2 linked regions of the Coturnix japonica genome follow. The protein of the gene in region 2 binds, or shares a complex with, the protein of the main gene of each other region. Links are inferred from orthologs where the notes say so. Each region holds a gene or a part of one and is shown on either strand. Other genes may lie near its edges.

The links.
Region 1: the proteins of RAB9A (region 2) and SGSM1 are in contact, whole or in part, in a crystal structure (PDB 4QXA), measured with the Mus musculus proteins. The link is inferred for Coturnix japonica from reciprocal best matches to the Homo sapiens genes RAB9A and SGSM1. Residues at the interface, in NP_062747.1 of Mus musculus: Phe37, Thr39, Ile40, Gly41, Val42, Glu43, Phe44, Leu45, Trp61, Arg68, Phe69, Leu72, Phe76; in NP_766306.2 of Mus musculus: Leu256, Leu257, Tyr258, Gly259, Lys260, Asn261, Asn262, Tyr277, Asn294, Met297, Asn298, Gln361.

The regions. Positions count from the first base shown.
Region 1 is NC_029530.1:6,046,479-6,050,051, reverse strand, and holds part of SGSM1 (small G protein signaling modulator 1), read right to left. Parts: intron 3,549-3,573; coding exon 3,452-3,548; intron 3,109-3,451; coding exon 2,941-3,108; intron 2,475-2,940; coding exon 2,386-2,474; 3' UTR 1-2,385. UniProt on the Homo sapiens protein: Interacts with numerous Rab family members, functioning as Rab effector for some, and as GTPase activator for others. Promotes GTP hydrolysis by RAB34 and RAB36.
Region 2 is NC_029516.1:110,820,565-110,824,103, reverse strand, and holds the end of RAB9A (ras-related protein Rab-9A), read left to right. Parts: intron 1-888; 5' UTR 889-922; coding exon 923-1,528; 3' UTR 1,529-3,039; downstream 3,040-3,539. UniProt on the Homo sapiens protein: The small GTPases Rab are key regulators of intracellular membrane trafficking, from the formation of transport vesicles to their fusion with membranes.

The DNA of each region.
Region 1 (3,573 bases), on a different chromosome or scaffold from region 2:
ATCCAGCTGCTCTGCAACTCAAACAGAGCTCAGGTCTGCATTGTACACTCACATTAACCCATGGCAGGCATGGCCCTGCACAGCTCTACCCACATGGGCTGAACCAGAGCTTCCCCCCCACACTCCCTTTTTCCTTCTTACCCACAGTTTGAAAATCAGAGCTAAACTCAAGCCAAGAGGACACAGCGCCTCTGCAAACAGCACAGGGATGGGGGTGCAGCATGGGACAGCTGCAAGGAGACCACGCAGCTCTTAGAATCAACACTTCTCCCTTCTCAAAAAATAACCCACTTAGTTCATATATTTTCTCTCTATACCATATATATATATATTATATTATATTATATATAGACACTATTCTCTGGTAAACATTTACAAGATATGTTGGCAACATTGCAAAGATACATCTCCATTTGCATCACAACACACACACTCACGCACTTCAGTGCACACAGACACACGGGAATGTGCAATCAATAAATACTTTTCTTCCCCAAAAAAGTGACTTAAAAAAAAAAAAGAAAACCAAAACCAACCCCACACATTGCTATCAAAGACACCCCGTTCACACAGACAGCAAACATTGTGCGGAATTTCTTGGCTGTTTTCTGTTTGAAAACCAAGAATAGAGGAAAATCAGAAGCATGAAGGATAAAGTGTCAGCGATGCTGCTTGTCAGGACTGTGTTTAGTTACATACTGGCTCCCGTCCTTTGGAAGGGATGGGGTAGAGCAGCCCCCTTCCCCTTTGGAAGTGGCCATGCAGGTAGATGCTGATCTATCCCAAGACCCAGAGAGAAGTGGAACAATCTGGGAGGGGGTACAAGCATCTCGCTCTGCTCTATGCAAAAGTGAGAGATTGCCTGCCTGTCCTTCTGCAAGCAACATCTACCACATGCCATAAGTCATTACGGAGCACAGTCGGCACGGACAGGCATTCCAAAGAAGAAGGGAAGCAGCAGCAGAAGGGCCCCATTGCACAGAGGGGCGGAGGGCAGAACGCACACACATCACATGGAGGGGAACACATATTTCTGCAGCAAAACTCGAGAGAAACTCCCTTACAGAGAGCTCCAACCCAGCACCTCCCTGCATTCCTACAGCCCTCTGTGGCCATGGCAAAGCTCCCCCTGGCTGAGCCAGACCTGCCCATCACCAACACCCCTCCTTTTCCTCTTTATTTTTTTTAAACCTGAGTTGAGAAATGAATCCAAACCCACACCACAACCATTGCACCGCACACTCAGCCCCACGCTGGCAGTGCTGCAGAGGCACTTCACGCATGAGATGCTGGAGAGCCACTGCAATGCATCTGCTAAAAGCAAAGACCACTCGGAGATGCTGGGTGAAAAGCAGCCCACCACAACCTAACTGGAGACCTTCAATGGACTCAGGGGGCTTTCTGAGCAGCCCCATAAGCACACAGAAACCTGCAGGCACCAGAGGGATCGTTTGCACTGTTCAGCTGCAAGCAGCCACTCTTTCAGCTAATAGAGGAACAGACAGGCACCTTCAGAGGGGAACATCAGGACAGCCACTAGGTCAGGAGCTCCCACTTGCCTTCCAAGGAGCCCTCCCTTAAATTGGGTTGCAGAAGGACGAGCAGGAGAGCAGACCCCTAACACAAGCAGCTAGAATAAGGCAGGTACGAAGAAAACCTGGTGTCTGGAGCTGCCAGACAAGGCCAGGAGCAGGTCTTGGTGTTCAGAGGCATTTACAGAGGCTGAATTTTGAAAGAGAAACCCAATGCTGAATTTGGAGCTCTTCCAAAACTCCATCTGCAGACAAAACTCTTGTGTGCTCGGATACCGTAGTAACAAACAATGTAAAAATCCAAGGGAGAGAACGGAGCCCTAAAAATACTAAAGGGGATGCTATGCGTCAAGGGACGAGATCAAAAGATGAGGAATCTCTGTGATCCAAGTCCCTCTCTGCTACTGGCAGAACCTCAGATGTCAGTAAGAAACTGAGGGCTGGCAGCATCCCTGGTTGGGTTTGGCAGCCCTGCTCTCCCAGACCCCCCCCAACATTGACCTGGGATGCTGGCAACTGCTTCTGCAGTTGGGGTGATAACCATGTGCTGCTCCTTCATTGCAGCAGGGTTAGGAAGCGGCTGCCCTACCTCCAAAGCAAGTCTTTAGCAATGCAACACAATTGTACAGATCTTTGGTTAAGTCATTAGAGAATGCTGTGCAGATCTGAGCCGGAGCCCCCGGACCTAACACTGAGCACAGCACTTGCAGAGCTATGGGTAGTGCCAGTTCAGACTGCAGCGTGTGTCCAACTACCTCACTTCCACAGGTGTGGAATGGTGAGAAAAAGGGAGAGGAAGCATTGGAGGGGAGTCCCAGCTCTCTGTCCGGATGCCTCGTCTTCCCCAGGTCTTTCACTTGTTTTCGATCAGAGTCTGCACTTTGTACACAAGGTCTCGAGCCAGCTTCAAGATCTGCTTGGTGTTGTGCCGCTCAGCCATTTCTGGAACACAGACAAAAGGAACTCACATAGAGGCTACACCCGAGATGCCCAGAGATTTAAGGAGCTCCTCCAGGTCCTCTTCTGCCCCTCAGCCAAGCTCTGGGAGCAGCTGAAGTGAATTCACAGCCAAGTCCCCAGGCACCACCCCTTGTGGACTCCTGACTCTGAAGGGTCATCGTTAAGGAGCTCACCTTGCAGGAAGCACAACCTATTGCTCACAGCTGCCATCAAGCACAGACAAGGCAGGCTGTGGCCAAGGATTGCTCCCCAGGCATCTTCTGAACCCCTCAGAAGCAAGGGACCCCTTTACCATCACATTCCAAATATCAGCATCACACAACATACCCTCTGCTCTTTTTCAGTATTTACCAGAGCAGTCAGGACACGACTGTCTACAGCCATCCAGAAGTGCTGCCTACCTCTGAGCAGCTGCCACAAATTGAGCCCAACAGAACCCAAACCGTACCATTGAAAAACTTGATGATGTCTGTAAAATCCATGTTGTTCTCCAAAATGATATCCCGGTACATTTCCACCAAAGCCAGGGCAATGAAGAGCACATAGTGTGCAGAGGAAACGCGTGCAGCTGCCCAGATGGTCTCCCAAACAGCAAAAACATCGTCATACACCAGCTCTGTTAGGAGAAGGAAAGCCCAGCAGTCACACATCAGGCTTCCATCAGCCTGACTCACAGCAGCATTCACTGGGGCAGAATGTGGTTTCTTCCCCCAACAACCTGTTCCAAAGAACAAGTCAGTCATCTGCACAGACACACATTCTGGCCTGCAGCAGGTGGTACAGACTGCAGGACATAAACCTGCTGGAGGCTCGCCAGCAGCTCTGGAGCAACAGGTTCTGATCTAGACAGAAAAGTCAGCCATAATTCTTAGTAGGGAGAAGCCAAACAGTAACACATGGCAAACCCTGCTCTCAACCCCCCCTTCACTGGTCCCAGCTGTCCCTCTCCCTGCACAAACCTCTCTTGAAGTCCAGGAGAAACCATCGGTAGCAGAAGTAGAAATGGGTGTAATCACCATTCTGGTGCATCAGCTCAAAGAGCTCAGAGTCCAGAATCTGTCAAGAAAAGCCAAAGGAAAGC
Region 2 (3,539 bases):
CAGTGAGTTTGCTTTTCTAAGCAGCTGTAGTAGGAGTATTCCATTTAATGCCGCTGCTTTATAAGGAGAGAAATAATGAATGTTAGTGTATGAATGCTGTGATGAAAGCTAGTCACAGGTCTGCACAAATGCTGTAATTTGGTCTTAATTCATTTTGTAGACCACAGAACTCACTGTGAATCAGTTGCAAAAGTCATGCTGCAGTCTGTGGAAGAGGTGACAGTTAAACACATTGTATTCTTGAGTGTATGTTGTTATTATGAGTATCTTTGCATTGTCTGTATCACACAGCCATCCTGTCCTTGTGCATTAAGCTTGATGTTGGTGGACTTCTAATGCTTCCTGGGCTCCCCCAGTACAAAAAAGACAGGGATCTCTTGGAAAGAGTCCAGTGGAGGGCCACAAAGATGGTGAAGGGCCTGGAGCATCTCCCCTATGAAGAGAGACTTAGGGAACTGGGTCTGCTTAGCCTTGAGAAAAGAAGGCTGAGAGGGGACTTGATCCAGGTTTATAAATACGTGAGGTGTGGGGTCCATAGTGGTGAGGCTGGACTCTTTTCAGTAGTGTGTGGGGACAGGACTAGGGGTAATGGAATGAAACTGGAGCATAGGAAGTTCTGCACGAATGTGCAGAACTTCTTTACAGTGAGGGTGACGGAGCACTGGAACAGGCTGCCCAGGGAGGTGGTGGAGTCTCCTTCTCTGATATTCAAGACCCGCCTGGACGCCTACCTGTGTGACGTGGTGTAGGGAGCCTGCTTTGGCAGGGGGGTTGGACTCAATGATCTCTAGAGGTCCCTTCCAACCCCTACAATTCTGTGATTCCTAGATAAGTACAAAACTTTCTGCTCACTATTTCCCTTTTTAACAGTTTTCTTAACCTTTGCAGGTCTAGGAAACAAGGAGGATCTGTTTCCTTAACAATGGCAACAAAATCGTCACTCCTTAAAGTAATACTGCTAGGAGATGGTGGAGTTGGGAAGAGTTCCCTTATGAATAGATATGTCACCAACAAGTTTGATGCACAGCTTTTTCATACAATAGGTGTGGAATTCTTAAACAAAGAACTGGAAGTGGACGGACACTTTGTCACTCTGCAGATCTGGGACACAGCAGGTCAGGAACGTTTTAGGAGCCTGAGGACTCCTTTCTACAGAGGTTCTGACTGTTGCCTGCTTACCTTCAGTGTGGATGACTCTCAAAGCTTCCAAAACCTAAGCAACTGGAAGAAAGAATTCATTTATTACGCAGACGTCAAGGAGCCTGAAAACTTTCCATTTGTGATACTGGGTAACAAAGTCGATATAAATGAGAGGCAAGTGTCTACAGAGGAAGCCCAAGACTGGTGCAGGAATAATGGTAATCACCCCTATTTTGAAACCAGTGCAAAAGACGCCATTAACGTTGCAGCAGCCTTTGAAGAAGCTGTTAGAAGAGTTCTAGCCTCTGAAGATAGATCGGATCATTTTATTCAAACAGATACAGTAAACCTCCATCGGAAACCGAAGCCTAGTTCATCTTGTTGTTGACTTAACTTTCTTTTTCTTTCTTGCCAAATTACTTCCAACTAGCTTACTCTGAAGAGGATGGGAAAGATGTAGATAAAATAACAAATGGGTTTTACTCTACTACTGAAGTTGTAATATTCTGCTGCTTTCCTGGGGGAGCAAAACAGATTTTCATTCATGAGTGACCCGTTATTGAATTAGTGACGCTTCCTATCTAGGAAGGTGTAAAGTAAAAATGTTAACCTAAGAATGTAGTTTGCCAACTCTAAATGATAAATACTTTGAATATAATTAAAACTTGAAGTTCTAGAAGCACTACTTTGGTGAAACTGTTCTGGAATTGAGATACAAAGAAGCTTTTATATGTATATATATTTTTATGAAATTAGCATTCCATTTTGTTTCACTAGAACTCAGTTTCTTAACCATGAGAGATATTAAACTTTAATTTCACCGCATTCCTTTTGATGTGAGTGGTACTTCATCTCTAATGCATTTACTACAAGTTAACATAAATTCCTTCAAGTTTCCTGTAGTTATAATTTGTGTATGTTTTTAAGTAGGAAATGAGTTTCCTACGTATTTAATGTCCATCTTCCTTTCGTTTACTATTCTAATGCCACATGAATTTTTCCAGCAGTTCAGTGCAAAATGTGATTTATTTTTTTTTAATACATCTCCTCCTTATGTCCCATTCTGGCACGTTTCTGATTAATAGAGTAAAGAAAAAATCTGGATAAACCAAGTATTTTTCATAACTAAGAATGGTTATATGTACTTTATTCCATCAGCTTTAGTAACTCTTGGAAATTTGCCATAATGTGGATCTCTTCAAGAAAGCTTTTAGGATACAGCCTTAAAGTTCTGACCTTATTGTTCCTGTTCACCTGAGCTATGAATGTGTTTGTGATCTCTGTACTGTGAAACTAAGGATTTGCAATACATAGGGAACTCAGGAAGCTCTTGACTTAGCAGGTAGCGACAGCTTTCCACTCTAGTACGAATAGATACCTATAACGTTTGAGCCAAATTTGATGCTTATTTAATACGCCGTCGTAGGGTAGAGACTTAAACCTTGGTATTACTGTACTCATTAACTGACAGCGAACAGAAACAAGTTCCATGTTTAATGGATAATCTTTCTGTAGTGTTGCAGATGAAGCCCCAGGATGTGTATTTGAAGCTCTCCACTGCTGTCCCATGGTAGAATACTTGTATGAGAAGCTCTTGAAAGCTGACTCTCAGAGTACTCAATATCCTTTCAATAGCAAACTTGATAATGCACTATTGCTTCAATGTGTAACCTGACTACAAGCATGCCTGTTAGTGTACACATTGTAGACCTCAGAAGGAAATCAAAGGCCTACAGGACGGGCCGTGTTTTTCACTAAATTATGCAGACTCTGCTTTCTGTACTGCAACCTTTTTGTTGTAATAGAGCTTTTCTTGATAGTACAGTAACAGCAAGAGTCTTCTCTTAACGTGTTTGCTTTGTACCAGATGTTATTTAGAAGTAAAGCTTGCAAAACAAACTTCTTGTTGCTCTTATGTGCTTTTCTTCATGTTTTTTTTTTTATGCTTGTTTGAACCTGTTCGTGTTTACTCCACAGATCTGCTGTTCCTGCTGCAAGGTGATATTTTTACAGGTTCTGCATTCAAAGCCTACTTTGTTCTTAGTGTCCTGTACGTACAGCAACAGTTATGAGTTTCAGTCACTAAGCAGCTAAATACAAGCTGACCTGCTTCTGTGTGATATTTAGATTAATAGTGAGCGAAGGTAAGATGTGAGGAAAGAAAGAAGGTAGGTTAGATTGAACCTTAGTTTCCTTGAACATTAACTTTTGCAGAAGTGAGATTGAAACAAAATAGTAGATAAGTTACCACTTGAGTACTACAAATAAGACTTTCATAATAAAATCTCTAAAAGGAAATAAGGATGAGGACCAGGTGTAGTAGCTTTTCTTGTGCTTAACAGCCTATTTCTGTCTTCTCCTGTTTTTCCTACCATTTCTATGTAGTGCTATGATTATCC